Sus scrofa: one gene and its partners. The protein of the gene in region 1 interacts with the protein of each later gene in a pairwise test. Links are inferred from orthologs where the notes say so. Each region holds a gene or a part of one and is shown in the gene's direction. Other genes may lie near its edges.

Region 1 (2,941 bases):
GAAAAAATTATATAGGATTTGTAAAAAAAAAAAAAAAAAAAATTCTGGTTCAACATTTATCCATATAAAGTAGAAACTAGGACAAGTCAAATCCACCAAAAACCTACACAGGTTAGATAGGGAAGAACTTTGATGGTAAGAAAGCAAACTTGGGTTATGGATATAAAAGTAATTCTATGAGGTATACATGTAAACTTGAGAATTGTCCATGTCCAAAAAATGCATTTTAAAAATGTCTCGGTGTTTGACAAAATAAAGATAATATCTAGAGTTCCCGTCGTGGCGCAGTGGTTAACGAATCTAACTAGGAACCATGAGGTTGCGGGTTCGGTCCCTGCCCTTGCTCAGTGGGTTAAGGATCCGGCGTTGCCATGAGCTGTGGTGTAGGTTGCAGAAGCGGCTCGGATCCCGCGTTGCTGTGGCTCTGGCGTAGGCCGGTGGCTACAGCTCCAATTCGACCCCTAGCCTGGGAACCTCCATGTGCCGCGGGAGCGGCCCAAGAAATAGCACAAAGACAAAAAAAAAAAAAAAAAAAAAAAAAGATAATAGCTGAGAGTTAATTTTGATATATTTTAACAATGTTCACCTCATGGGCACAAGTAATTGATGAAAAAAGCTTAGAGAATGATAATTACCACATGAGGGTATGAGGAAAAATAGCTTTTCCCTTGGAAAATAATAACAGCAACTCAACTCTATATAATTCCTTTTCTTGCTTAAAGTGATTTAACCTGAATAACACTGGCCAAGGCATCAGAGAATTGGGATCAGGTTTCATATTTAGCAGTAATTTGAGTCAGTACATGGTAAGAAAGATTTGATTACCCTTACAATGTAATTAAATACTACAACTATTAACTTTATTTGACTCTAGTGCCATAGCTCAGCAGTCTGCTTGGAGAGACAAGATTTTTGTCCTGAAGCTGCAAAGGCATGAAAATATCCATAAAATTTTGAAATGTTCAATTGGAGGAACACGGTTGCTAGAAATTTTTTGTGGAAGAGAAACCGATGAGACTATCTAAACCTACCCCATAGAATGTCCACTCAGGCTGAATGACTTGGCCACTTAATTAAACACCTAATAAAATGTGTTTCTATATAGAAAAATAAACTTGGATATTTACCTCACATCATGTGCAAAAATTCAGCTTGGTCTAGGATTTAAATGAAAAATACAAAATTGACAAGTTTTAGTTAAAAATACAGGTTGATATTTCTCTAAACTTTGAGTAGGGAAGTAATTTTTACCATTATTAAATACATGCTAATCATAAAAGAAAATAAATTTAATAAAATAACCATCTAAAGATCTCCTAAGTAATGGAAAAATAAGTTATAAACTCATTAATGCTTGAAGACACTTGAAACACAATTGACAAATGGCTAGTATTGAGATTATAAAATAAGCACATACAGATAAAAAAGAAAGGGAAAAGGTCCCAACAGTAATGAGCAGGAGGTCTGAATAGGCACAAAAGAACAAGAGCATTGAACAAATGAAAATAAAAAGAGGTATCAAACATAACTTACTGATGAAGGACTGGCAAACATTTTAATATCTCACAACATCAAGTACTGGCAAAGATGTGCCCAATCAGGTTCTCATATAATTGCTTTTGGGAGGCAAATTATTTTTATAATATAAAGCCAAAATATCTCTCAAAATGATTAAACATCAAAAAATATAAGCTGGCAATTCTCTTCCTAGATATGTCTCCAGAGACTACTTTGTACATATGCATCAGAAGACATGCACAAGAATGTTCAGAGCAGCTAAAGGATCTGTGTAGAAATACACACACACTATTTATGCATATGTATATAAATATGTGTGTATATATATATATGGGCACATGTATATGCTACACTTAAATATATAGTACACACATGCAAATAAAACTATATATTTTCAAAATCATGAGAATAATCATAAATTCCAGCACAGTGACTCATATAGGTGTGGGAACCAAGCATAGAAATAGGGGAAGAGTACCTCTATAGAAATATTTTCTCAAGTATACTAGAGTCCATGCAGATGTTTATTTTATTATTGACTATATGGACTAGTTCTATAATATCCTCATATATTTATTCACATATACAAAATAAACTCTTGCATAAGAGTGTATCATGCAAAAACTAGAGCTTGTTTTCAGAAGGATTTTTTTTTATTTCAATCATCTTAACTGAAGCATTTTCTATTTTGCTTTCAGCTTGGTGATTTTCTGAATCAGATCCACAGGCTCCAGATATCTTTGGATGAACAGCAAGGAAGAAATGAAAACTTGGAAATTAAACTAAGGCGCTTACAAACCTGGTAGTTATTTCACAAAATGTGTCAAATTTAAGATTGGGATCTTAGATAAGGAAAACTTGAGGTCCTTTTTTCCTATTTTCTTAAATATCCATAATATATTACTTCTGTTAATGGGAAATATTAATGAAAGAAATTTACAGACATTCAATACTTAAATTTATGGGTTTCTTAGCTCATTATTTTTCCCCAATAAGCATTACATGTTTTGATAAAGATAATTTAAATATCACTTAAAAACAACTTTAGCTCTAAAGATATCAAATTTCTGAAAGGCAGAAGGAGCTTTCAAAATATATTTCACCTAGAACTGAAAGAGTTATAATGTCTGAAGGAAAATATAAGTTGTAAACTATACAGTTTGCTGGGTAGTAGACAAGAGAATCACTGTACATAAGAAAAAGTAATGGGTTAAATAACTGACAGACAAAAAACACACACATGCACAAGTCTGTGTGGTAGGCGTCACATGTGCGAAAAATTTTTTCACCCAGGGAGGAAACAAAAAATTTGGTATAATTTTTCCTACAAGGCAAAAGTAGGCAGAAATGTCAAATGATATGACTTGTGTTATAAGGAGACTGAAGGGAAGCAAGCTAAGATTTGTACTGCGATTTATATAAA
Region 2 (4,906 bases), on another chromosome or scaffold:
CTGAGCCTAATGTTTTCAAGGCTTATCCCGTCATAGCATGAATCAGCAATTTATTCGTTTTAAGGCCAGTAATATTCTATTGGATGGATGGACCACATTATTTCCCTATTAACCAACTGATAGATATTTGGGCTGCTTCCACTTTTTCACTATTGTGAGCATCAGGCTGCTGAAAACATTCATGTGCAAGTTTCTGTATATAGGTATGTTTTTAATTCTCCTGGGTATATCCCTAGGAGTGCAATTGATGGATGGCATGGTAACTCCATGTTTTCTTTTGCTTTTTTTTTCCAGCTGCCAGATTGTTTTTCAAAGCAGCTGCTCTTGCTTGTTAGAAATTTACATGATTCATTCAATTGTTTATTCAATGACTATGTATTAGAGCACCTGTGGGCACTGTTCTGGGTGCTAGGAATACAGCAACGAGCAAACAGGCAGCTCATATGGAGAAAAGATAAGACTGGTGTATGGGGTGGGGTACAAGCCTTGGAAAATATCACTGAAAAGAGGGACATTTAATCTCGGGGAGGGACACTCCAGGTAGAAGGAAGAGCGAGTGCAAAAGTCCAGAGGAGGGAATGAATGAAACGGATGTACGTGAAGAACAACGAGGTCGCTGGTGTGGAGAAAGTGAGGGGAAAAGTGAAGGGAGGTGAGAGCAGGGAGGTGATCTGGACAGATTGTTTAGACTCTAATGAACCATCACGAACACCCAGTGGCCACAACTACCATTCTGGGCGCAGAGGCAACCCCGGTCCATGCTGTGAGAAGATCGGGCTGCTGCCTGGGGTTCCTCAAGATTCCGGGGCAGAGTCTCCTAGCCCTCCACCTTCATGAGGTCCTTGCAGCCTTCCTGTCCCCACCACCTTTCCCCAAATGCTTCCAGCCCAGCTCCCAGTCTCAACCTCGCAGCCTTCTGGTCCTGGACACTACAAAACCCCTATTGCATAAAAGGAAAAGCTGAGGCCCCTGCATCCAGAGGCCTCCGGCTCAGAGCAAGGCAGGACACGACCGCGGCTCCAAGTCCAGTCAATAAATGGGAAACTTCCCCGCCAGGTTTGCTAAGAACATATCCCACTTTGCCGTGGGGAAAGGAGCTGCTCCCAAAGATCAACCCCTTCCCTAGCAACCTGCCGCCAGCCCCATGGCAACTAGGGCCGAGCCCGACACAGCCCACTGGTCCCGGGATCCCGCAGGGGCGTGGAGTCTCCCCTTTACGTACGAAGGAAAAATTCTTGCCGCATCTACTGGCCCTTTAAGAGGCTCCGCCCCGGCGGTGCCTCAAAGCATCCTGATTGGTCCCGAGAGCGGGCCGAGCACAGCCGAACTTGACGCACCCGCCCGCAGCCTTTCCCACTAACCTCCCACGCGGCTCAGCGTCTGCCCCAGCCAATCACCAACGGGCGCGCCGACCTTCATCTGCATGGCCACGCCCCATGGGTAGGGCACACCCAATCCGACCGCTCGCCGAGCCTTTATTAGCATGCCGGGGGCGGGGTGGGGCGGAGCAGGCGGCAGGGGCGGGCTTGGAGCGGTTGGTTGGAGCGTCGCAGCAGCCGAGAGGTCCGGGAAAGTTTCTTTCGAGGTGAAAACAGCCGCAGAAGTCGGGGCCCTGCGAGAGAGCGGGGGGCGTGGGGGTCCCAGGATCAGGGCGGGGCCCCTCCCGAGCCGGGGGTTGCGGACCTGGGTCTCCTGGGGGGCGATCGTCCAACAAAGGATCCCTGGGGCGCCCGCCCTCGAGGGCCTCCCTGTCCCCGGATCCTGCCCCCCCCGGCATTCCGGGGCTCCACAGCCAGACCCCGCCGTCAGCTGCTCGAGAGACCCTCACTCGGCCACGATTGTGCTTTCCAGGTGCGGCCGGGAGCGGCCATGTCCCACGGCCCCAAGCAGCCCGGCGCGGCTGCCGCGTGAGTGCGACATCCCCTCCCCCAGCCCACTCTGGGCTACAGCCTGGGCGCCCCCCAGGTCGCGTAGGAGCTCTTCGACCCCTGCCCCCCACGGTCTTGACTCCCCCAACCTGGAGCAGGCCCTCCCCCTCGGGCCCTCACCAGCTTTTCCCAATTCCTGGGCTCTAGCCTTTAAGGGGTCCCCATCCTCGGATCCTGACCCCCTCAGACCTCTGTTTCCAGAATTCAGGCCCTTAGCTGCCAGTGATACCGTCGGAGGTGGGGGGTAGTGAGGATGATCCCTAGGTTCCAGACTCTCCCAGGTCCCTGTGGCTCCGGTAGTGCCCCTGCTGTCTCAGCCCCCCACCCCCAATCCTGATTACCTCAAACCCCTCTAAGGACTCAGCCCTCGAGCTGCCAGCTCCGCCTTCGGGTTTGGAGAGTGGGGTGACCCTGGCTTCCCGTGTCTCCAGGTCGGCGAGCGGTAAGACTCCAGGACAGCACGGGGGATTCGTGGTTGCTGTCAAGCAAGAGCGCATCGAGGGCCCGCGGGCAGGAGAGAAGGGGTCCCACGAGGAGGAGGTGAGTCCCTGCACTTTGGGGGCGGCGACCCTTAGCCTTGAAGCTCCGCCCCGAGTTCAATATGAATTCGCTGTGGCTCCGCCCACCGACCAGAGTTCCCTCAAGATGCTGAGACCCCGCCCAAGTGCCAAATACCACGCCACCAGAAGCTCCCCTGCCACTCTAAGCTCAGGCCCCGCCCATCGCCGAATGCCAGCTTCGCCCACTGCCAGAAGATCGCCTCCAGTACAGAAACCACGCCCACGCCCAGAGCCCACGCCCACACCACAAGCCTGCCGCATCCATGGGCTGATCCTCTGACCCCAGTCCCTTTGATCCCTTCACCCCTGGCCAGGGTTTTCCTCACCTCACTCTTCCAATCCTGAACTCTGTCCAGGCCATACCTCCAGGCCTCTGGGTCCCACCTCCTGGCTAGGACCCATCCAGGGCCATGCCCCTTCCTCTCTGGGCCCAGCCCCAGCCCTTCAGGCCCCCTCCCAACGGCCCGGTTGGGTTCTGCAGCCGGTGAAGAAGCGCGGCTGGCCCAAGGGCAAGAAGCGGAAGAAGATCCTACCCAATGGGCCTAAGGCACCGGTCACCGGCTACGTGCGCTTCCTGAACGAGCGGCGTGAGCAGATTCGTACTCGCCACCCAGACCTGCCTTTTCCCGAGATTACCAAGATGCTGGGCGCGGAGTGGAGCAAGCTGCAGCCAGCGGAGAAGCAGGTGGGGACTGCCGAGACCACTGACCTCTCTCCATACGCTCAGACACTCACCCGCAGCCACTTACCCCAAAGGAAAGGGTGTGGAGTGTCCTTCCTTCCGCCTGGAGAAGTGACCACCTATTAGCTCTCTCCGGCTTGTTAAAGGGTAGCCATACGCAGGAACAGAGGTAAACCTTAAACAATGTGGGAGTTACCTGGTGGCTCAGCAGGTCAAGGATCCAGTGTTGTCACCGCTGTGGCGTGGGTTCAATCCCTAGCTCAGGAACTTCTGCATGCTGCCTGCGTGGTCAAAAATAAATAAATAAACTACATTATACTAAAGAAGAAGGGTGGGGGCTGCATTTTCGATGGAAACCTGATTTTTAAATCTGGCAATTAATTTTAAAATTGCAAAAATATCAAGGAGAAACAAAAAAACAAAACACACCAGCTTGCACCCTCTACGTGGGATTTCAACAAGCAAAGTGGGTTTGGGAGGGCAGTCCAGCCTGGACGTGGGAGCCTGCAGATAGTCAGACACAAGGAGTGGTTTATAAACGCTGGAATTGGGGTGAAGTAGGTGAGTTCAGGGAGTCAGGAGGTGGCCTGAGTAGCAGCCTGGAGGGTGGGTTTTGTCTGGAGGGCAGTAGGGAGCTGTGGGAAGGGTCAGAACAGTGAGCTGAATGATGGAGATGGGGTAGACTGAGCCAAGCCTTCTCTTGCTGCTCCCGCTAGCGGTACCTGGATGAGGCCGAACGGGAGAAGCAGCAGTACATGAAGGAGCTGAGAGCGTACCAGCAGTCCGAAGCCTACAAGATGTGCACGGAGAAGATACAGGAAAAGAAGATCAAGAAAGGTGCAAAGGGCCCCAGGCACAGCTGAGTGCCTGCTGTGCAACCGGTGACACAGGCAGACCGACCTCCCCCTTCATGGGGCTTTCACGGGCCAATGGGAATGAGACCCACATAACCAGACAGTTGTGAGTGAACAGGCCTGATCAGCGCTCAGATGGGACACACACAGACACTGGGGAGCCCAGGCTTCGAGCTTGACCCAGGAGGAGTAGGGCTGATTGGGGGAGGGGAATGGTGGTGTTCCAAGCAGGGGGAACAGCACATGCAAAGCAAAGCATAGGTTCAGAGGAGGCCTGGGAGGCTGACCCCGCCCTCCTCCCTTCCCCACCAGAAGACTCCGGCTCCGGGCTCATGAATACCCTTTTGAATGGACACAAGGTGAGCTCCCCTCCTCCGAGGAGAACACCTGAGTGGGAAAGGTCTGGAGGTATTTAGACCCCTGGGTGAGCGAGGACCAACGCTCATGGGATGAAGTGAGCTCCCGGTCCACATGTGTGCAAGCGGAGGCTGCGCGGCCACGCAGGGGGAAGGCTCTTAAATGGACTCTAACCCAGGTGGCCTGAGGAGACCCTTCCAAGCTTAGGGGATGACCCAGAAGGGGTTTGGCTGCCCCTCACCCCCCACCCCAGAAAAATGCTACCTTGTCCTGTCGTCCCAGGGTGGGGACTGTGACGGCTTTTCCACCTTCGACGTCCCCATCTTCACTGAAGAATTCTTGGACCAAAACAAAGGTAAGTGCTCACCAGGGGTTCTTAGGAGAGCAGGCTGTGGGAGGGAGAGAGGATGGGCCAAGAGGGCGCAGAGGTGGAAGGCGGCGGGTGCCTTCCTCCCCCGCCCCGGGAGCTGAGGTGGGGCTGGAGGCAGAGCAGTGAAGGAAGGTCTGGCTGATGGGCACAGCTCT
Region 3 (4,123 bases), on another chromosome or scaffold:
TCCTTTGATGCTGTGGCTGTGGTGTAGGCCAGCAGCTGCAGCTCCAATTCAGCCCCTAGCATGGAACTTCTATATGCTGCAGGTGTGGCCCTAAAAAGCAAAACAAAAAACAACAAAAAACCCAACTATCAAATGTAAGTCTCACTATGTAGATAATAAATTATAAACTTGTTTTTCTGTCTTAAATAATGTCTATTTAGAGGGCACAATCAGAACTTGCAGCTCATCAGAAAAAAATCCTCCATGTTGATAACCATATCGGTATCTCAATTGCGGGACTTACTGCCGATGCTAGACTGTTATGGTGAGTATGATCATGAAAAACAAAGGAAACATCTCTTGATTCATAATTGATTATATTCTAGAAAAGATCCAGATGTTTTACAGGTATTCTATTCTGCCAGAATGTTTAGAAGATTGTGTATACCTTAGTGAAGTTGGGCTCAGTTACTCAGTATCCCATTTCTTGATCCTCTGTGTAGTAACTAATAGAATTAGCCATACTAATATTAATGCCTTTGAGAAGTCATTCAATGATGTGATACTTGTTAACTCAGTGTATAGTGTTTGATATTATGTCTGAGAAGAGCTTGACACTTTTGTTGGGTTTGCGAGGATCAGATGAACCACCTTTGCTTTCTCTAATACACCAGTATTTATTTGATGTTTATTTTTTGCAAAGCTCAGTACTGGATGCTGCAGGGTGTAAAAAGTGAATGAGATATAGATCTCATCTTCTAGGAAATTAGAATCAGTTCTATGTCTAATACACAGAAGAAAGTGGAGAGTAACAGGTATACTTCTGTATGGGACCAGATAGAGATTATTTCTATTTGAGAGGCATTATGTAAATGAAGAACTGACATTTTGGAATCACACAGACTTTAGTTTCCACTTTTATTTATTTGTTTATTGTTTTTATTGACTTTTTAGGGCCGAATCCATGGCATATGGAGGTTCCCAGGCTAGGGGTTGAATCAAGCTGAAACCGCCAGCCTGCAACACAGCCATGGTAATGCCAGATTTGAGCTGCATCTGCGACCTACGCCACAGCTCATGGCAACACTGGATCCTTAACCCACTGAGCAAGGCCAGGGATTGAACTTGAGTCGCCATGGATGCTAGTCAAATTCATTTCTTCTGAGCCATGACGGGAACTCCTTTGTTTTTTATTTTATTTTTATTTTTTTGCTTTTTAGGGTGGCATTTGAGGTATATGGAAGTTTCCAGGCTAGGGGTCACATCAGAGCTGCAGCTGCTGGCCTACACCACAGCCACAGCCACAACAATGCCAGATCTGAGATCTGTCTGTGACCTACCCCACAACTCATGGCAATGCCAGATCCTTAACACACTGAGCAAGGCCAAGGATTGAACCAGCATCCTCATTGATGCTAGTCAGGTTCCTTACTGCTGAGCCACAATGGAAACTCCTAGTTCCCACTTTTAGCACTTAGTATCTGATATTGGTCTAATTATTTAAACTCCTAATTTTCTTAGTATTTTATTGATAAATAGCCTAACATGTGGAGCACTTGACAAAGGGTCCTTTTTTTTTTTTTTTTTTGGTTCTTAAAATCTTCCCTTATTGTAACTTTGTAAACATTTATTGGATTGAATGAGGCCTAAATGATAATCATTTCATACCTGTAAATAGCACCTGCACAGTTGACAGTCCCAGTATATCAGTCCCCTGCGGTGATCACAGAGCTACCGTGAGGGGGCATGGCCCATGATAGGACCCTAAGGCATGCGACTCAGTGTGTTGCCTGGGGATGTGGAGTAGATTGGTGGTTGGACTCAACGCTGCCAGAACCCAGACTCTTCCCTCACTGCTCTCAATGGCCTGTGAGATGTCTTTGCAGAGGAACTTGGAGCAAATCGGAATCCGAGGTTGAGGCTGTGGCATGAGTGAGTGGCTGCCGCGCTCTGCCCCTTGCCCCTCCATCACCCAGGGCTGGGAACACAGTAATTGTGTTCAGCCAGTATTGAAAACCATCAGGTGTGCTGCTGGTTTGCCACTTGTGGTTCTGGAGACTTTGTTTCCCTTTCTCCTCCACCTTAGAAATAGGGAATGTAAATAGAGGCCCCTGGGAGGAGGCCTGGATTACAGTTGTTCTAGAGTCCTGTTGCTATTGATTTTGGTCATTGACGCCTGGTTGTTTTGATGAGGCTTTCCCAAACTTCCCAAGGCTCACACTTGGTACCACCCAAGTGCTCTTGTTAGCATGTTCGATTTTGTTAATTGCTACTGCTTTGCGCTTAGTGGGCAGTCACATCTACTGGCCTGCACCACCAGCTTCCTGGGCAGGAGTGAAAAGACCCCCTGCTCCTCCTATTTGCCCTGGCTCTGTCATTACCTCACAGGGTCTCAGCCACTCTGAGCTCTGTGTCACTGCTAGAACCAGCCACTCTAGTCCTGGCAATAGCCAGAGCCAAGAGTTCTTTATTTTCCTCTTGGCCCACAGTGTCTTTCAGGTGTTGTGTGGGAGGTAGTAGGGGGAAAGTAATCACTTAAGTCTGTGATTTTAATTAGGAAAGAAAGAATATAAACACTAAGGGTAAATAATAATGCTAATGTTTAAAATTTTCAAGTTGTCTGGCAAGCTCCTTGTTCTCTTAGGTCAGCAACATAGTGATAGCATTACTGGTTTCTTTTAGCTGTTTTAAAATATGTCGCATTGTCAGACATTTTATTTAACCCAATCTCTCCAAAGTATTGTTGTGTCATATGTAATCAACATAAAAACTTTGTTAATGAAATAGTTTACATTGTTTTTTTATTAAGTCTTTGAAATTTCATGTTTATTTTATAGTTATATCTCAAGTCAGACTAGCCACTTTTTCAGTGCTCACTAGTCACATGTAATTAGTACCTGCCATATTATAGGGCAGTGCAGTTTTAGACAGTCTTGGGAAGTGAACTTAAAGTAGTGAACAAGTAGTTTGGTTTCTGCAGCCAGCATTTGATCATCAGATGTGACATCCATGTAAGCTAAACAAAGCAAGATGAAAGAAAAATGCATAGCTGTTTCTTTTTTCTTTTTTTTTTTTTTTTTTCTCTTTTAGGGCCACAGCTGTGGCATGTGGAAGGGCCCAGGCTAGGAGCTGATTCCGAGCTGCAGCTGCTGGCCTACACCAGAGCCACAACAACCCAGGATCCGAGCCACATCTGCCACCTATACCACAGCTTGTGGCAACGCCAGATCCTTAACCCACTGAGCGAGGCCAGGGATCAAACCCACATCCTCATGGATACTAGTCAGGTTCTTAACCCTCTGAGCCACAGTGGGAACTCTGCGTACCTATTTCTTATTTATCCTCTTGGCTTTAATTGTAAAACATGAATCTCCTTTTCCTCAGTGTTATACTTGCTTGAATCTTGTCAAGTTTAACAGCGAGACTCAACAGTCTGGTGTCTGATATCTCCTCTAAAGTATTCCTTTTGGATAGAAGTAATGTTGGCAGGCTAATGTTAAGAGATACCTTGGAATGGATTCTATTTCTTGTATTGGCTGTATTGGGGAATTTTTTGTCAGCTTTCAGGAAAAAAAGTATTGTTTTTGCTAGTTCAAGACAGTCTTTTGAATGAACAGTCTTGTTGACAGTGGCAAGGGTAAAAGAAGAGAGATTGTTCTTTTTCTCTTGCTTATCCTTCTCTATTCTATAAAGTGCTGTGAGACAAAGCTTATCTATAGCTAAGAAACATTTAATTATAAACGTGAGATTATGAAAACTTTAAGATTAGTCACTTTTCAAACAGAACATTTAAAATTTAGAAGGAGAGTTGGTATAAAAAAATGCGTCCTTGGAATTTCCGTTGTGGCACAGCAGAAACGAATCTGACTTGCATCCATGAGGATGAGTGTTTGATCCCTGGCCTCACACAGTGGGTTAAGGATTTGGCACTGCCGTGAGCTGTGATGTAGATTGCAGGCGCAGCTCTGATCCTTCATTGCTGTGGCTGTGGTGTAGGCCAGTGGCTATAGCTCCGATTTGACCCCTAGCCTGGGAACCTCCATATGCTGTGGGTGCAGCCCTGAAAAGACCAAAAAAAAAAAAGGATCCTTGTGGCCATGTCTTTATGGTTCCCTTATATAGATATAATTCATATAAATGTCTA
Region 4 (4,641 bases), on another chromosome or scaffold:
CTAAATCCCACTGAAGGCTAAAAGTCATTCAACAGGCAGGACCATTCTGTGTGATGGTAAAAGAAAGGTGATAATATTTGAAAAATAGGGTTTGTGTAAAGCTCACTTTGTCTTTCCTCATTCGTTGAAACTCACCCAGATAAGCATTCCTTCACTAATTGAATTTTAACTCTCCCATAAGAAACATGGGCTAAACCATTAAAATTGCCAAAACTCCAGAGGCCACCGAGGATAAACACTTATTCAACGAAATGTTTTACTATTTAAGAAACTCTTTTATACCATGATTGTCAGAGATTTTCAGTTTCAATGTACCTTTCATCAGGCCTCCTGTTTGATGGATTCTTTTTACTTTGCTTTTATTATTATTAACCTCTAGATGCTAGATAACTAGCAATTCTCGTCTGAAGAGGAAAGGCCTGTGTTAAGAATCCAGCAGGAGGAGTTCCCGTCGTTGCACAGTGGTTAACGAATCTGACTAGGAACCATGAGGTTGCGGGTTCGGCCCTGCCCTTGCTCAGTGGGTTAACGATCCCGAGTTGCCCTGAGCTGTGGTGTAGGTTGCAGACGCGGCTCGGATCCCGCGTTGCTGTGGCTCTGGCGTAGGCTGGTGGCTACAGCTCCGATTGGACCCCTAGCCTGGGAACCTCCATATGCCGTGGGAGTGGCCCAAGAAATAGCAAAAAGACTAAAAAAAAAAAAAAAAAAAAAAATCTAGCAGGAGAGCGGGCTGTACTTCAAATCTTGCCGTTCTAAGGTTGTATCTTTTTTTTTTAATTTCAGTAAAATCATGTTTTGTATCTTTTTTTTTTAATTTCAGTAAAATCATGTTTTGCTTTGAACATATATATTTTATATGTATGTGCATTTTAATTCCCACTTATTTAACATGTGTTTTGTAGTGATAATTTCGAATATTCACATTTTTCTTTCCTGTTATTACTTTGACAGTATGTTTTTACAGGACTTGACTACGATTTTCTCTAATGTCTTTACATTAATCTTTGATAGTGAAAGTACTTTGTAGCAAACTAACAGAGAAAAAATATGGGCTTTAGTGTTAGGCAGACGTAGACTTGAATCTTGGCTCTCAAAATTTTGTTGTTGTTGCTGGGCAATGACCCAATTATCCAAACTCTCAAAGCCTGTTTGCATTTGGTTTTTGGTCTGTAATAGGAAAATGTTGATACCTCACAGGCCTGCTGTGGATATTAAATGAAATAAAAAGCAGAGAAAGTAAACTTTAGTACCTTGTAGATGATAAACATGTAAGATGTTTGCTATTCCAGTTTTCAGGTTTAATCTTTATTCATCCCACTAAAAAAGGGGAATAAGGCCACACCCACTTCAAGGGATGCTCCTAGAATTAGAGACCCGACCAGAAAAGCCAGAGCGATTTGCAAACCTTAGCTCGAAACCCATAACAAATGCTTGCATATGCTCACACTGCTGTTCTTTCCTAATATAATATGACCTATCTAATTTTGAACATAACGTACTTTTCATTCTAATAAACCAAAGTCCACATCGCTGCTGCCCTCCCACGGCGTCGCCTAGTCTCTCTCGCGAGACTCCGCCCTCCGGTTTTCCTCTGGGGATGCGGGAGGCGGAATGGCCGCGCTCGCAGTGACGTGTTTATCCTGAGCGTCTGACGTCACTGCCAGGCGCCCTGTAGCACGTTGGCCGGGCCTTCGGCGGGCTTTTCGGGGACCAAGATGTCTATGGCCAGCGATTTCTACCTGCGCTACTACGTAGGACACAAGGGCAAGTTTGGACACGAGTTTCTGGAGTTCGAGTTTCGGCCGGACGGTGAGTTGAGCCGCTCCTGAGCGGTGCTGAGCTGGGGGAAGCGAGGCGGAGAGGCCGCGGAGGAGGCGGTGTGGGGAGGGCGAGCCTCCGCGGGCTTGGCGAGAGTGCGTTGGGGCTGAGGAGCTTAAGAATATCGGAGAGTATATTGGTTTTGTGAGTAAAAGGTAACTAATCGGTGTAAGTTATTTCAGAAAAGTCTATACTGCCAGATACTAAAATGGAACCTACAGTAATCAGAATCCTAGAATCTGCTCACCAGAAGGGACCTTAAAGGCCATCCAATTAATCGACCTAATACTCGAACGTTTTATGAGAACATCCCCGCCACGCGGTGGGCCTGTGGATGCTTAAATCTTGCGGTGAACAGTAACTTTCGAACTACCCATGCGTCCGTTTTATTCATTCATGCGCTGTATGTAAGGCAGCATGAATAGAAAAAAAAAAAATCTGCTGTTCAGAACTGGAAGCGGGACATGTAAAAGAAATGAGTGTAACGATGTATTCTGGGTGCTTAAATATAGTTGTTCCATGTAGCATGCGTTGAAACTCCAAAAACGGGGGAGTGGTTAGTTCTGGATGAAAGAGTCGGGTCATCTTTAGAGAAGGTGACAGTTGAGATGAGTCTCAAAATGAGAGTAGATATTGTCTTGGACGCTGAGGGAAAATAAAGGAGTCGGACTCCTGAGAGCTGCAGGAGCCGGTGAAAGTGCCTGCTGCCCAAGTAATGGCAGCAATTTACATCTTTTGACAGCTCTGATTCTCTTTAGATAGTTGTACTGTATATAGAACTCTTACTGTAACAAGAACAGTCTTGTTAAAAGCGGCATAGGCTTTTCTTTTTAGAGTGCATGTTATGTGCTGGGCAACATGTAAAAACAAAAATTGAGGTTATATTAATGCGTCGGGTTCTTTAATTCCCCTCAAGGAATTAAATCTTGCTGAGTGACACAAACGTGAAACTAATCATAAGGCAGTTCTGATGGTAAGTGCTGTGCTCATGCTTTGGACAAAGTTCTGTGAAAGCGCAAAAGAAAAATTAGGGGAGGATCACATATTAGAAAAATGAGAGAATATCAGATATTTTAGGTAGAAGTCAGGGTAGCTACATCTAATTATTTAGAAACCTTAATTACCTTAGTCTCCCTCATTCTACCCAAGTCTTTTCTAAATTTAGCTAAGGGGCCAGATTTACCTGAATTCTTCATCTGTATTTTTGGGTTTTTTTTGTTTTGTTTTGTTTTGTTTTTGTTTTTTTGTCTTTTTAGGGCCGAACCTGGCGTATGGAGGTTCCCAGGTAGGGGTCTAATCAGAGCCGTAGCCGCTGCCCTATGCCAGAGCCACAGCAACACCAGATCCTGGCCGCGTCTGCAACCTACGCCACAGCTCATGGCAACACGGGATCCTTAACCCACTGAGCAAGGCCAGGGATTGAACCCACAACCTCATGGCTCCTAGTCTGATTTGTTTCTGCTGCACCACGAAGGAAATGCCTTCATCTGTTCTTTATGTGATATTGTTTTCAGGACTTTTGCCTGTGAACAACTATCAGTGTGTCTGTATCACTTTTAGCCAGTCACATAAATTAGGTAGTCTAATATTATCAGGGAAATTTCATTCCAGGACAATAGCTCTCATCTGCCACCCCACCATTCCACATACTTCTGTCAGTAATAATGAGTCCTATAAACAATGATTCCTAAGGGACCTCATCAGGGTAACCTATCATTCTAGAGGATAAAGATCGCAGTACATCTTGGAGTTCCCCTCCTGGCTCAGCAGAATCAAATCTGACTGGTATCCATGTGGGTGCAGGATCAATCCTGGCCTCACTCAATGGGTTAAGGATCTGGCATTGCTGAGGCTGTGGTGTAGGCCAGAGGCTACAGCTCTGATTCGACCCTAGCGTGGGAATTCTGTATGCTGCAGATTCGGTCCTAAATAGACAAAAAAAAAAAAAAGTTAACAGTACACCTGTACCTGGGCAACTGACTGAGGAGAGGCATGCCTCAAGGAGTACACCTAAATTTGTATATATCAGCTAACAAAACGGCCAGTTTTATCCAGAAGCTGCACATAGTTGGTATTCTTCTTTACCATAGTTCTAAAATATTAGCATTGCCATAATACATACACACATTCATTTGAAGGAAAATAATTAAAAGAACAGTGGGGAAAGCATGAGTATTAAGAAGGTATATCTAGATTTGAATCTTGTGTGACCCTGGGCAAGTTATTTAACTCCCTGTTTTCTCAACTGTGAATAAAGAATAAAACCTACTTTTTATTTATTTTTTTTCAGATTAGGTTAAATGCTCTGGGTAAATAACTTAGCAAAAATAAGACATATAAACTTAGAAGAAATATTAGTTCCATTTTCAGATTCCCTGTTGAGATCGTGATATAGATTAAGAAAATGGGCCTTGAAAATGACCCTCCCATTGTATAATTATAATTGAAGGCATGAATTTAAAAAGTTGCCTGGCTTCAACTTAGCCAACATATATCCAGCATTAATCTTATGCTAGGAGGTAGGAAATATTAATACAAGTAATAGTATAAAATGGTTTCTACCTTCAAAATTGCTTATAGTGTCATTATTTTATTTTTTAGCAGTTTTTGCTATTTAGATTGAATTTTTTTCCACTCCCCACAGGAAAACTTAGATACGCCAACAACAGCAATTATAAAAATGATGTCATGATCAGAAAGGAGGTAAGTTCTTTTCAAATGTTTCATTTTTTTTTTTGCATTAAGCCCATTTTCCTCCTGTCTGTGTTTTTATTTACATATTTTAAAGTACATTAAAGGCTGTAAAAAAGCAGCTAATTTGTA
Region 5 (4,123 bases), on another chromosome or scaffold:
TTTTGGTCTGGGTAAACCACTGGTGGTTTTTAAAAACCAGTCAGGAGACAGTTGTCCTTGTCCAGAAATGAGGGTGGTTTTTAACCTCAGGTTGGTGGCACTGGATATGGAGAGGAGTGACAGTGTTTTGGGGGAGACCTGCCGGGGTGAGGGGGAGTAAGGCGCTAAGGACGGTCTCCATTCAGTCGTGTGCCGTTGGGTGATTTCTTGGGTCGTCATCCAAGGTCATAGGAAGTGGGGGTGAGGGGCAGGACTGAGGCGGGAGGAGGACTTGGGAAGCCAGCTGTGGGCCAGCAGGCCCTGCTGAGCGCCCCCTTCTCTCCACAGCTCTCCTCCTTGACACAGGCTCACCAGGAGGCTCTTTCCAGTTTGACTCACAAGGCTGGGGGCCTGGAGAAATCTCTGAGTAGTCTGGAAACCAGGAGGTCAGAGGAAGCCAAGGAGCTGGCTGCGGCCCAGAGGGAGGCTGAGCTGCTGCGGCAGCAGTTGAGGTGAGTAGGGAGGTGGCCGAGGGGGTCCAGCAGTTGGTGGGTGGGGTGGGTCTCCAGGGTGCCCCACTGATGGCTACCCTGCTCCCACCCCAACCCTAGCAAGACCCAAGAGGCCTTGGAGGCTCAGGTGACCTTGGCTGAGAACCTAAGGAGATATGTGGGGGAGCAGGTTCCTCCCGAGGTCCACAGCCAGACGTGGGAATCAGAGCGACAGGAGCTTCTAGAAACTGTGCAGGTGAGAGAGTGCTGGGCATGGGGTGGGACATGAGGGCTCAGGTCCTGGGCAAGGGGGCCGCTGGAGCAGAATACAGCCCCCGGGGAGAGAAGGCAGTGCCGTGACCGGGGCCCAGACTGGCCATCCCTGAGGGCTTCTGGGAGCTCCAACAGAGCGGCTGCCCTCCCCCTACCCCCACTCCACTGTAGCAGCTGCAGGAGGACCGGGACGGGCTGCACACCACGGCTGAGCTGCTGCAGGTGCGCGTGCAGAGCCTCACGCACATCCTCTGCATACAGGAGGAGGAGCTGGCCCGCAAGGTAGGCCCCTGGGTGCCTTGCCCTGTCCCCAACCCCAGGCATGGGAGGGGTTGGCGTGCCCCTCCCCGAACCTGCCAGCATCGTCTTCCCCTGAATGCCTTTTCTTGCTGTGGCTGCCAATGGCCTAGGCAGGACAGAAGAAACAAAACCCACCCGCTTCCTCTGCTCCCCAGGAGCCCACACTCCCCGCCACTTCCTCCACCCGCAGGTTCAGCCTTCAGACTGCCTGGAGCCCGAGTTCACCAGGAAGTGCCAGGCCCTGCTGAAGCGCTGGCGGGAGAAGGTGTTCGCCCTCATGGTGCAGCTGAAGGCCCAGGAGCTGGAGCACAGAGGATGCGTGGAGCAGCTGAAGGGACAGGTGGCCTGGTACCCTCTTTCTCCCCGTCTTCTCCCCCAGCTCTTTGTTCCTTAGGGCTGGCATTTATTCAGTAGATACCTACTGAATGCTTCTCACATGCTGGCTGCACCGCCCTGAGCAGAGGCCGACAAGGACCTGCTCTTGTGGGGTTTACTTTTTGTGAGGTGGGCCGGCCTTAGGTGGGATGGTCACCTGAGGAGGCGACAGCATTCAAGGATGGGTGGGCGGCATGAACAGAGGCCATGGGTCCTTGTGGGTGGGTCACAGGGCGCTTCCTCAGGGTGTGGGTATAGGGACCATGTTTCTGGAGGGAAATCCCGACTCAGACTCCAGTCTCAGGAACCCAAGCTTTGTCTCCCTCTGCGGCCTTCTTTCCGAGACCTCTGCCCCTGACCCCTTCCCAGTGTCCCCCCTACAGCTTTTGGGTCTAGACCTGCCTCCTGTCCTCCCCCAGGTGGCAGAGCTCCAGGAAAGAGCTGAAACCCAGGGCCAGGAACGGGCCATCCTGGAGCGCTCCCTGCAAGACAAAGCCGCGGAGGTGGAGGTGGAGCGGATGAGCGCCAAGGTCAGCGTCTGAGACAGGCAGAGGCCAGGGGAGAGCAGGGACACCCCAGGAAGGGGACCCTTCTCTTTACTGCCTCCTTCCTAGGCCCTGCAGATAGAGCTGAGCCGCGCTCAGGAGGCCCGGCGCCGGAGGCAGCAGCAGACGGCCGAGGCGGAGGAGCAGCTGAAGCTTGTGGCCAATGCCGTCAGCAGGTGTCTGGGGTGGAGGGTGGGTAGAGTGGCATTTCTGCTTCCCTGGCTTCCTGGGCGCTTTGGAGTTCAAGAACCTTGGGCAAGAGGGGCCAAAAAGCTGGCCACGTGGAGGATGCAGGGCTGGAGGTATCTAGCCCTGTAAAACCTGGTTTTTTTTTGGTTTTTTTTTGTCTTTTTCTGTCCACACCCACGGCATATGGAGATTCCCAGGCTAGGGGTCCAGGAGGAGCTGTAGCTGCTGGCGTACACCACAGCCACAGCAACTCGGGATCCGAGCCGTGTCTGTGACCTACACCACAGCTGATGGAAATGCCAGATCCTTAACCCACTGAGCGAGGTCAGCGATCGAACCTGCATCTTCATGGATGCTAGTTGGAAGAGTTAGCTGCTAAGCCACAATGGGAACTCCTAAAACCTGTTTGTTTATTCTTAAGGGGTAACCCCATCCCACAGTCACACCAGGGTCACTTGTTATGATTCCCAATCATTGTGTGTTTGACTGGAAGTGAGCTATTACTTCCTCTTACAGTTAGTCATGTAACAGCTTGAACTAAATAGAGCCTAGGAGGCTTCAGAACTGTTCCGGGGTGGGGGGCGTTGGTTGTTTGTTTTTCCAGTTGAAGGTTTAGGAGGTTCCTGACGTTGTGACTCAGGTAACGAACCCAACTAGTATCCATGAGGATGCGGGTTCGATCCCTAACCTTGCTCAGTGAGTCAAGGATCCGGTGTTGCCATGAGCTGTGGTGTAGGTTGCAGACGTGGCTCAGATCTGGCATTGCTGTGGCTGTGGCGAAGGCCAACAGCTGCAGCTCCAATTCGACCCCTAGCCTGGGAACTTCCATATGCCACATGTTTGGCCCTAAAAAAAAACAAAAAAACCACGCCCAACCCAATCTCAGATTGTTGCCAGATTTATTAGTCTCTTGATGGCTTGGAGATGCTATCAGGAAAAGGGTTTCATAAGAGCCACAGTGTATTGGAAGCACCTGCTCAAATAATTTCCAGATAAAAGTGATGTCTGCTGTGCTGCTAGGGATACAACCTCACCCTTTGTCATCTGCTTCTTTTTCTGTTGGCGCAGACTTGCACTCTCCTAGGGAGTTCCAGCCCCACCTAGTGCTGGATGCTAGGGATGCCCTCCTCCCAGGGGCCCTGGTTAGGCTTCTTGATTTTCAAGAGCCACCCAGCTGCTTTGGGTCCAGCCAGCTGATAAAGCACATGGACCTGGCCTTCGCTGGCATCAGGGATTGGTTGGCGAGGATAACTTTGATCTCTGATACATAATAGTGATCAAAAAGCAGATTGTGAGGAGTTCCCTGGTGGCCTAGATGTTGAGGATCTGCGCCTCGTCACTGCCGTGGCTTGAGTTTGATCCCCTCGCCTGGGAACTTCCATGTGCCACTGGCGCGGACAAAAAAGAAAAAGAAGGAGTTCCTGTCGTGGCACAGAGGAAACGAATCCCACTAGGAACCATGAGGTTTCGGGTTCGATCCCTGGCCTCACTCAGTGGGTCAAGGATCTGACCTTGACACAGTTGCCATGAGCTGTAGTGTAGGTCACAGACTCGGCTCGGATCCTGCGTTGCTGTGGCTGTGGTGTAGGCTGGCGGCTATAGCTCCAATTTGACCCCTAGCCTGGGAACTTCCATATGCCGTGGGTGCGGCCCTAAAAAGACAAAAAAGAAAAAAGAAAAAGCAGATTGTGAGAATAAGCTTTGCAGTTCGCTTAAAAAGATGTAAAGTCATTTAATGCCTTCTTGGGCTGTGGGCTTTGGTCCAAAGAAGAATGCACATAAGTTCATATACCCTGAATGTAGCTTATGGTGCCAGGACAGTCCCACACTCTGGAGATGCATCCGGGGGCCTGCAGGTAAAAATGCCTAAATTACTAGCAATTAGTCCACCGTAGGGCACTCGTTTTAGCCCCTGCAGGTAGATCATCGTCACAGAGTCCTTACGGTAGTCCGTGAAGGTGCAACCCCATG
Region 6 (4,842 bases), on another chromosome or scaffold:
ATGACTCAGGCTCTAGCTATGTCCCCAAGGTCAGGCTGACAGGGTGGAGTCGGGGTTCCTGTCTGGACCCCGTGTGGACTTCCAGGATTCCGCCAGCTCCCAGGGAATGAAGGCTCGAGGCAGCCCAGTGTGGCGGGGGACCAGTGGGGTCCTGGTGAATGGGCCCATTGGGGAGGAGTCGAGGTTCCTGATGGGGTGAAGGAAGGTATAGGAGAGCCTTGGGAGAGTTCCTCAAACTCAAATAGGGGCTGGGGAAGAAAGAACCCCAGGAATCCGGGGGCCGAGGAGGCTAAGCTGGGACCTGATGGAAACCCTGCCACGGCAGGTGATGTCAGACCTTGGAGCGGGGGGCATGTGAGCGCTTCTGCAGAGCACACGCTACTGCGTGGACGTTGACGCGCAAAAAGGCTTGAGGGAGAGACTCTGCCCCTGATGTTGAGAAGAGGGAACCCCTCCTTTGTAGGAGGGGCACAGACCCCCATGGGGTGGGTGGGAGGACTGCTGGCACCCTATTAGCAGCTGGGCCCCGTCCCCCAGTGTTTATGTGGGGGAGGGGCTTGAACTCATGCCTTCGTGGCTGCCTAGGTCTTCTCCCCACCTGGCCACCATGTCCTGACAAGCTGGGGATTTCGAGGTAGGTGGGGATGGGACCTCTGTGGCCTCACAAGGTCCTCCCAATCTCCTCCCAATCTCCTGCCACCGAGGTCAGGCCAGGTGGTGGGAGGTGATGTCACCTGGCTCCCCAGCTGGGGACTGAGCAGGCTCTGGGAGGAGGGAGGGAGCAAACTCCAGAGGAAGGGATGAGGGCAGGGCTGGCGGCCAGCCAAGGCAGGCTCCATGGTCAGTCCTGGCGTCTTGGGGCAGAAAAGGAGGCAGGAGGCTTGTTATCTGCCACTGTGGACTTTGCCGCTCCCAGCCCCGGCAGGGTGACTTCCTTATGCTGGGAACAGGACTGGCTGGGGTGCGGGGTGGGGCTGGAGGTGTCCTACGGCCAAGTGAACGCTCTCCCTGCCACACCAGGGCCACAGGATGGAGTTAGGACAAGTGGAGACCCACAGACCACAGCCAGTCTTTTATTCACTCAGCAGACATTCACTGAGCACTTGCTGTATGCACAGAAGTGTTCTGAGTGCCAGAGGTACTGATGAAAAAAGGGCAGGCAGAGTTCCCTTGCGGCGCAGCAGGTTAAGGATCCGGCGTTATCACTGCAGAGGCTCAGGTCGCTGCTGTGGCACAGGTTCCATCCCTGGCCTGGGAACTGCTGCATGCCAGGGGCGTGGCCAAAGGGGGGAAAAGAAAAGGACAGAGGGGTTTTCTGTCCTCATAAAAGTACGAGGGAGGCACAGTCTTGTTGGACAGCAGCTGTGAGGGGACATAATGTGGGAGCCCACCTCTGGAAGTGACATCGAAGCCCCAGAATGTAAGAGAGCGCCAGGGGCTGGTGTGGCGAGAGACGCAAAGAGCCCTCTGGACGGCAGCGCAGCCCGCACAGAGGCCTGGAGGGCCTGATGGGCTGGGAGCTGATGAGAAACTGGCGGGGTTCGGCCCCTCTCATGAGGAACGGTGCTGAACTGGCGGGGTCCATCCTCAGGCGTGCACAGGTCATTTCATCTCTCTGTGTCTTACTCTCTTCATCTCTAAAATAGGGGTGACAGTCGTCCCGGAGCTGCCATCCCGGGGAGGTCATAGAAGAGTCAGTGTGGCGTAGAAGGTAACTGTTCCAGGCACCCAGGTGCTCAGTAAAGGCCCCCTGTTGTTACAGTTGTTTGACTCTGTACCATTAATTCTCCCTTCCCAGGCAGGACTCCTGACTGCAGCCCATGGGCCTCTGAAGAGGCGTTGTAAGTCCGCCCAGCTCCCCACTTGCTGTTCTCCCACTCAATGGGAAGGGAACCAAGGTACCAGGGCCTTGACATTGACCCAGATTCTGCGAGGGCAGGCTGGGCCAGGCAGGCGGGTGGGTTCGGGGTACCCCTTCTTCCCAGCTGGGGTGCCAGGCCCTGGGTCAGGGTGGAGGCTGGGGACACACGCAATATGTGCTTCCTTCATGGCTCCTGTGCATCACTGCCAGGCCTTGTCCAGCCATCAGCCACGGCCTCTTGACGGCACCAGGATGGAAGTCAAAGGTCAGCTGATCAGCTCTCCCACCTTCAATGCCTCAGGTCGGTGTCCGTGCCCCCTCCTGCTGCCTCCTCCCCTGCTCTGAGTCCCCACTTGCCCGCTGGGGGAGGGTTGGTCCCTGGCCCCACAGCTGCTCCAGGATGCTCTGGTTGCCCCCCCACCCCGACCTTTGCGCCCTCTGTATCCAGCTGCCCTGTTTGGAGAGGCCGCGCCCCAAGTGAAGTCAGAGCGTCTGCGGGGGCTGCTTGACCGGCAGCGGGCCCTGCAGGAGGCCCTGAGCCTGAAACTTCAGGAGCTACGGAAAGTGTGTCTCCAGGAGGCGGTGAGAGCCTGACCCTATGGGTGTGGGGAGAGGGGGTAAGGAGTCGGGGCCAGGTAGGCAGACAGAGGTGGCAAGCCGCTTGGCTGAGCTGCAGGTTCCCCAAAACTCAGCCTAGGTGTCTTAGAATCAATAAACTGTGGTGGAGTTCCCGTCGTGGTGCAGTGGTTAACGAATCCGACTAGGAACCATGAGGTTGCGGGTTCGGTCCCTGCCCTTGCTCAGTGGGTTAACGATCCGGCATTGCCGTGAGCTGTGGTGTAGGTTGCAGACGCGGCTCGGATCCCGCGTTGCTGTGGCTCTGGTGTAGGCCGGTGGCTACAGCTCCGATTCAACCCCTAGCCTGGGAATCTCCATATGCCGCGGGAGCGGCCCAAGAAATAGCAACAACAACAACAACAACAACAAGAGACAAAAGACAAAAGACAAAAAAAAAAAATAATAAACTGTGGTAATAGTTTACCACCAATCCCCTGTCAACAACTTGAAATCAAAAACACCTAAAAACAAAAACAAAAAAAACCCCTAAGTTATTTCCAAAACATGGCACTAAAACCTGACCTGAACTGACAGGGGGTGATTTTTTTTTTTCTTTTTTAGGGCCACACCTGCGGCATATGGAGGTTCCCAGGCTAGGGGTTGAATTGGAGCTGTAGCTGCCAGCCTACACCACAGCCACAGCAACGCCAGATCCGAGCTGTGCCAGCGACCTACACCACAGCTCATGGCAATGCGGGATCCTTAACCCACTGAGCGAGGCCAGGGATCAAACCTGCAACCTCATGGTTCCCAGTCGGATTCGTTTCTGCTGCGCCACGACGGGAACTCCTGACATGGGGTGATTTATAGTTTCAGTTTACCCTTCTTTTTTTTTTTTTTTTCCTCCCTTTTTTGGCCACCCCCGACGGCATATGGAATTCCTGGGCCAGGGATCAAATCCGAGCTGCCGTGGCCTAAGCCGCAGCCACGGCAACAGCAGGATCCTTAATCCACTGTGCTGGGCTATGGATCGAACCTGCGTCCTGGTGCTCCCAAGATGCCGCCAATCCCGTTGCTCCACAGCGGGAACTCCTAATTTACCCCTCTGGCTGTGAATGTCCCTACAGTTTACCAGAAATAATAAAGCAATTCAGAGCATGCAGCCCAGGCCCTGAAGGGAGTGTCATATAATATGCAGTATACAGATGGTGTCACCTTTATACAGAGACATTCTGGATTCCAAAGCAGGTCTCCCTGCCTCCCGTGCCCACCACCCCAGGGGTTTGGGCCACTGAGTTGCTGAGTGTCTCTGCCACACACCCATCTGCTGGAGAACTGGGAGGAAAAAGAGAAATAACCAGCATGGGTGTTGAGCCGGGCTGGGCGCCTGGTAGGACTTCTGGAGCTTTAGGGGTCATCACTGCTTTGCCACATCCCCCCAACTAACCCTTGGTAGTCTCTGGCTCCTGCCCCCACCCAGGAGCTGACTGGCCAGCTACCCCCTGAGTGCCCATTGGAGCCTGGTGAACGGCCCCAGCTGGTCCGCCGGCGGCCTCCTGCAGCCCGAGCCTACCCCCCGCCGCCGCACCCCAACCCAGCACAGCACTCCTTGTGCCCTGCCGAGGTGAGCAGATGGGCCTGCAGAGCAAAACGTGTTGGGGGGGTGAGGGGAGTGGGGGGGAGGTGGGACAGGAGCCCAGAGGAAGCAGAGACAGGGTTGCTTGTGTCCAGGAGAGGCTAAGTAAGGTGAGAAGGGAAGGAGCCTGAGGGAGGTGGGTTCCAGGTCTGAGAGAGGATGCTGGCCCCTACTCACCTCCAGGAAGATGAAGGAGAGGCCCAGCCCTACTCAACACTGGCCCTGCCCACCCCCTCCAGGGGGAATGGGCCGCCCCCAGCAAGGGCAGGCCCCGCCCCCAGCGTTTCAGGGGGCTGGCGCTGTGGGGGGGGGCTGCTCTGTCACTGCCTGGTCCCTGTGCTTGGCCATTTGCAACATTTGGTCCCATCCCATCCTCTTGGGTGGGCCCCGCAGGAGCTGGCGCTTGAGGCCCTGGAGCGCGAGGTGTCAGTGCAGCAGCAGATTGCCGCCGCTGCCCGCCGCCTGGCCTTGGCCCCCGAGCTGAGCACTGAGCAGCGCCGGCGCCGGCGCCAGGTGCAGGCAGATGCTCTGCGGAGGCTGCATGAGCTAGAGGAGCAGCTTGGGGACGTCCGGGCCCGCCTGGGCCTCCCAGGGCTCCAGCCACCCCAGCCCCTGCCACTCTCCAGTGGGGCAGTTATCACCGCCCAGGGAGTCTGCCTGGGCACGCGCCTTGCCCAGCTCAGCCAAGGTGAGCATGGCCCTGTCATCCCACTGGTGAAAGTGGGAGGGTGGGCCTTAGCTCAGGGACGTGGTAGGGGTGGAGTGGGTGAGCGGCCAGGGCAAAGTG
Region 7 (4,123 bases), on another chromosome or scaffold:
CCCTTTGATACGTATGTGGAAGATGCCTTTAAGTCTGATGAGGACATTCATCCGCAGTTTAGAAGGTGAGGAGATTCAAGGTGGATTTATCAACTTTCTGCAATCGGACCTTGATAATAATTAATATTCAGTTGTTTTGTTTGTGTGTTTGTTTTTGCATTGGTTTTATAAACATCAGTTGTCTGGGCTTCACCATTTAGTCGAGGTTTGAGAATGATGTGCTATATAGAAGATTCAAAATGTTTTAAAGTTTTAAATGTTGTCCGTTGTGTAAAAGGTTGGCAGTCTTTTAAAAATTTGTGTGATGAGATCCAAAACATTTTTCTGAAAGTTGTTGTGGGGCTCTCTGTCCTTTTCTTATTTTTGGGGGGAGTGTGGTGGGATGGTGTGGGGTGGGTGAGTAGGATGCCTTATGATGCCACCGTGGAGAGCGCTGTGATGGCAGTCTCTGAAAACTACCCTTTGCCCCTGATACACAGTTGGGAAAGTAAAGGCAGCTAGATATATTTCCATGCCTTTGAAGTTTGGGTTTTCAGCTGATCATTTCTCACGCTGTCTTTAACCGGTATTAAAGCAGCATGTGTATGTTTTTGTATCACAGAGTGTATAAAAAGGCCTGCGTGGTTTTGTTCATGTCATAGAACACGGTCTATGTAAGAGCTGAGTTAGGATTTCAGCTGTGATATAAAATGAATGTTGGTTTGTGTGTAGGAAATTCCGAGTGATCCGTGCAGATTCGTATTTGAAGAACTTTGCTTCTGACCGATCTCACATGAAGGATTCCAGCGGGAACTGGAGAGAACCTCCTCCGTCCTATCCCTGCATCGAGACTGGAGGTGAGCCACGGCCGCCCCCAGGGGGTTCCCGTCACTGTGCAGATGAGCGCGTTCCCTTAACCAGGGTCAGGAAGCACATTGTTCTTTGGGTAAGACCTCTGGAGAGCTAAGGAGGCAAGAGGGAGTGTCGTTCTGTGTATTCATCGGATTTAGGAATCGAGGCACGGAGAGCAGGACTGGAGGGCACCAGAACTCATGGGAGAGGAACGGTGTTAGGGCCCAAACCCTGGCACCATTGCTGGGACATTGGGCTTCGGAAGGTCTGCGTGTTCGAGTCATTTAACAGCGGGACTACAAGCATCTTGCCACGGGAGGGTTTCATGTTATGGGGAGGAAATCCCAGCGCGTCTTTGGAATGTGTGAAATGTCATTTCACTGGCTCTGTAATAAAAGCTGCCTAAGAAGGAGGTGAGAGCTAGCAGGTTTTATCGTCCCACTCATCTCATTTATGTGCTTTTAGGCATCAGTCCAAATAGTAATTCTTCCAGATTTAAGCGGATAAAGGGTTCTTCACCTCTTTCTGTTGCTTGGCACTCACCTGAAGCTGGAAACATTATTTATGATGGGAAGTAATTGGTAGCGTTGCCTTTAATTGGTGAAATCATCCTCTCACATGGATGAGGCTGTGTGAGTCAAACTGTTCTGTAAGCTGTACAGGATGCCGGAAAAATAGGACAGTGGTGTTCGGAATTCAGCAGTGAAGAGAGTAAAAAAAATATTTGGCATGTTTGAGGGGAGTGAAGACTGAAAGAGGATTCAAACTCTGATTTTTGAGGCTCTCTGTGAAAAGCTCTCATAATTTTAAAAATTTATATTGGAATTGATTTTGCCTCACCAACCGGGTTCCCAACCTCAGGGTTAGAATTGGGACAGCTGAGGTCAGGAAGGGGCCTCAGGGATCTTGCCTTCAGTCTCACTCACCAGGCTGACAGGGCCTGTGGCAGCTCTAAGGCAGAGTTTGGTGCGTAGTAGGCCTTCAGGAAACAACACCTTCTCAGCCCCTGTCCTCTGTGAGTCATTTCTTTGGGTTTGATGGCTACTACCCAGTAGGTGCTGTTTTGGGAGAGGCTTCGGTGCCAGCCCCTTTGCATCTTATTTTGGTTTAATCTTCACCACAAGAGGCAGGCTTTGTTTTCCACACTTGCCTGCCATACAGACTGGCGCACAGGCAGGTCAAGCCTGCTTCCCCAGCTGGAAGGCCTCCAAGTCCGGTAGCACCTTGTGATCGGGTGTCAGTTGCCCCCACCCTCGTGTAGCTAGCTCATCAGAGGCCTCCTGAACTTGAGATTGGAGCTCAAAGGAATCTGCTCCAAAGTGTGGGGTAAACACACTGGTTTCTCATGTCGTAATTTACTGTGTGTTCTCTTGTATGGGACATGCATTACTGCAAGCCCTGTCTTTATCAAAGCAGTATATTTGAAATTAGGTTAAGGGGGAATTACTTTCAGCTAGTTAGGGTTTTATTTAAGAAAAAACGGTTAGGAAAGAAAAAATGGTTCAAGAAAACATCACACTTCACCTCAAATATGTTGTTTAGATAGTGTGTCATTTTCCTCTTAGGTCAGTGATGTTCTGTTCATCTTTTTCAGACTTTTTCTGTATGTGCTTCATTTTCAGTAATTATTTTGCTTGTAAATTCATTGATCTTAAATCCTTTTGCGGTGCATTTTTTTTTTTCCATTTTACGTGTTTGTTTTTTCATTTCTAGATGCTCCATTTGGGGCTGATTTACTCTCTCCCCTTTTGGTCTTTGTCGTGCTCATGTTTAACTACTCTTTTGAGTAAATGGAGCCTATTTATAATCGCTGGTCCTTGTCTGCTGATTTCTCTCCTGGTTTTGAGTTGTATTTTCCTGTTTTCTTTGTATGACTCCTAATATTTGGTTGGCTGCTGGATTTTGTGCATTTCACATTGTCAGCTCCTAGATCTTGGGTTACTTTAAGAAACAGTCTTGGATTTGGTTCTGGCCCCACTTAAATTTCTGAGGGTCAGGCGGGTCCTTTCAAGGCTGGCTTGTAGGCCGTTTCCTGCGGGTTCGAGGTGGCCTTTGGCTGCTGCTGATTTAGCTTCCCCACTCTCGAGTGACCTTTCTGTGGATTCTCCCAAATGCCTGAGGGCTGGAGGGGTGTTGTTAGACTGCTTTCTGCTGCTTCTTTCCTGGACTTGTGAGATCAGTCCTTAGCCAAAGACTTGGGGGTAAAGGGCTGAGGCGCCTCTGCAGGTCTCCAGACAGCTCTCTGTGTAGTTCCCGCCTCTCTCACACTGTCCCCAGATCTAGCTGCCCTGGCCCCCTCAACTTAATTTTTTTGTTTTTTTTGGTTGCATGTGCAAGTTCCTGAGCCAGGGATCAAACCTGTGTTACAGTGGCCACCCAAGCCACAGCAGTGACAATGCCGGATCCTTAACCTGCTGAGCCACCAGGGAACTCCAGGATTTATTTTATTTTTCATTTTTTGCTTTTTTAGAGCTGTACCTGTGGCATATGGAGGTTCCCAGGCTAGGGATCAAATTGGAGCTGTCGCTGCCGGCCTATGCCACAGCCACAGCAGCATGGGATCCAAGCTGTATCTGCGACCTACACCACAGCTCATGGCAACACCGGATCCATAACCCATTGAGCAAGGCCATGGATCGAACCCGAACCTCATGGTTCATAGTTGGATTCGTTTTCACTGCGCCAGGACGGGAACTCCCTTTAGAGTCTTTTTGATATGTAGAGATTCGTAGTCCAACTCTTTTTTTTTTTTTTTTTTGGTAATTTATATGTTGGAGAAACTGAGTCTGGGAGAAAATGGTGTGGGTTTTGGTGATTGTATCTCTTTTGTGTTCTCTGAATTCCTATAAATTGGCAGTTGCCTCCAGTAAACTGGCAGTTTGCTTATTTTTACAGGTTTTCATTTAATTTTTTATTTTTGAATAACTTTATTTTTAGCCTACTAGAGAATTGGTTAAAAAATAAAACACTGCAGTTTTTCTATACCTTTTGGTCAGATCCCAGGGGAATCTGAGAAAACCATAGTGTAATTATCTAAACCAAAAAAATAATACAGTTGATACAAAAATATTGCCACAGTGCTCTTAACTTACAGACCTTATATAAGTTTTGTAATTTTTCCCACTAATTTCTTTTTTTTTGGTTTAGAATCTAACCCAGAATATTACATTTATTTGTCATCTCTCCTCACTCTCCTTCAATCTGTGACACTTTTTGTTTTTTCTTTGATAACTTTTATACTTTCAAAGGGTACTGGTCAGTGATTTTTTTTTTTTTTTTGGTCTTTTTAAGG

The links.
Region 2: the proteins of CCDC102B (region 1) and HMG20B interact in binary tests that used the Homo sapiens proteins (3 or more experiments, as listed by UniProt). The two-hybrid records come from large-scale screens. The link is inferred for Sus scrofa from reciprocal best matches to the Homo sapiens genes CCDC102B and HMG20B.
Region 3: the proteins of CCDC102B (region 1) and PSMA1 interact in binary tests that used the Homo sapiens proteins (3 or more experiments, as listed by UniProt). The two-hybrid records come from large-scale screens. The link is inferred for Sus scrofa from reciprocal best matches to the Homo sapiens genes CCDC102B and PSMA1.
Region 4: the proteins of CCDC102B (region 1) and MAGOHB interact in binary tests that used the Homo sapiens proteins (3 or more experiments, as listed by UniProt). The two-hybrid records come from large-scale screens. The link is inferred for Sus scrofa from reciprocal best matches to the Homo sapiens genes CCDC102B and MAGOHB.
Region 5: the proteins of CCDC102B (region 1) and CCHCR1 interact in binary tests that used the Homo sapiens proteins (3 or more experiments, as listed by UniProt). The link is inferred for Sus scrofa from reciprocal best matches to the Homo sapiens genes CCDC102B and CCHCR1.
Region 6: the proteins of CCDC102B (region 1) and CCDC120 interact in binary tests that used the Homo sapiens proteins (3 or more experiments, as listed by UniProt). The link is inferred for Sus scrofa from reciprocal best matches to the Homo sapiens genes CCDC102B and CCDC120.
Region 7: the proteins of CCDC102B (region 1) and WDYHV1 interact in binary tests that used the Homo sapiens proteins (3 or more experiments, as listed by UniProt). The two-hybrid records come from large-scale screens. The link is inferred for Sus scrofa from reciprocal best matches to the Homo sapiens genes CCDC102B and NTAQ1.

The regions. Positions count from the first base shown.
Region 1 is NC_010443.5:153,689,284-153,692,224, reverse strand, and holds part of CCDC102B (coiled-coil domain-containing protein 102B), read left to right. Parts: intron 1-2,216; coding exon 2,217-2,324; 3' UTR 2,325-2,941. UniProt on the Homo sapiens protein: During interphase, forms fibers at the proximal ends of centrioles to maintain centrosome cohesion. During mitosis, dissociates from the centrosome following phosphorylation to allow centrosome separation. Contributes to CROCC/rootletin filament formation.
Region 2 is NC_010444.4:75,095,135-75,100,040, reverse strand, and holds the start of HMG20B (SWI/SNF-related matrix-associated actin-dependent regulator of chromatin subfamily E member 1-related), read left to right. Parts: upstream 1-1,483; coding exon 1,484-1,851; coding exon of another isoform or gene 1,852-1,907; intron 1,908-2,359; coding exon 2,360-2,468; intron 2,469-2,969; coding exon 2,970-3,173; intron 3,174-3,886; coding exon 3,887-4,007; intron 4,008-4,336; coding exon 4,337-4,383; intron 4,384-4,663; coding exon 4,664-4,736; intron 4,737-4,906. UniProt on the Homo sapiens protein: Required for correct progression through G2 phase of the cell cycle and entry into mitosis. Required for RCOR1/CoREST mediated repression of neuronal specific gene promoters.
Region 3 is NC_010444.4:44,742,912-44,747,034, forward strand, and holds part of PSMA1 (proteasome subunit alpha type-1), read left to right. Parts: intron 1-200; coding exon 201-304; intron 305-4,123. UniProt on the Homo sapiens protein: Component of the 20S core proteasome complex involved in the proteolytic degradation of most intracellular proteins. This complex plays numerous essential roles within the cell by associating with different regulatory particles.
Region 4 is NC_010447.5:61,424,173-61,428,813, forward strand, and holds the start of MAGOHB (protein mago nashi homolog 2), read left to right. Parts: upstream 1-1,526; 5' UTR 1,527-1,715; coding exon 1,716-1,809; intron 1,810-2,734; exon of another isoform or gene 2,735-2,791; intron 2,792-4,462; coding exon 4,463-4,521; intron 4,522-4,641. UniProt on the Homo sapiens protein: Required for pre-mRNA splicing as component of the spliceosome. Plays a redundant role with MAGOH in the exon junction complex and in the nonsense-mediated decay (NMD) pathway.
Region 5 is NC_010449.5:23,547,639-23,551,761, reverse strand, and holds part of CCHCR1 (coiled-coil alpha-helical rod protein 1), read left to right. Parts: intron 1-327; coding exon 328-491; intron 492-590; coding exon 591-726; intron 727-914; coding exon 915-1,025; intron 1,026-1,233; coding exon 1,234-1,383; intron 1,384-1,837; coding exon 1,838-1,948; intron 1,949-2,032; coding exon 2,033-2,139; intron 2,140-4,123. UniProt on the Homo sapiens protein: May be a regulator of keratinocyte proliferation or differentiation.
Region 6 is NC_010461.5:43,136,093-43,140,934, forward strand, and holds the start of CCDC120 (coiled-coil domain-containing protein 120), read left to right. Parts: upstream 1-1,849; 5' UTR 1,850-1,898; intron 1,899-2,071; 5' UTR 2,072-2,113; coding exon 2,114-2,162; intron 2,163-2,309; coding exon 2,310-2,443; intron 2,444-3,899; coding exon 3,900-4,043; intron 4,044-4,448; coding exon 4,449-4,743; intron 4,744-4,842. UniProt on the Homo sapiens protein: Centriolar protein required for centriole subdistal appendage assembly and microtubule anchoring in interphase cells. Together with CCDC68, cooperate with subdistal appendage components ODF2, NIN and CEP170 for hierarchical subdistal appendage assembly.
Region 7 is NC_010446.5:15,981,840-15,985,962, reverse strand, and holds part of WDYHV1 (protein N-terminal glutamine amidohydrolase), read left to right. Parts: coding exon 1-65; intron 66-711; coding exon 712-836; intron 837-4,123. UniProt on the Homo sapiens protein: Mediates the side-chain deamidation of N-terminal glutamine residues to glutamate, an important step in N-end rule pathway of protein degradation.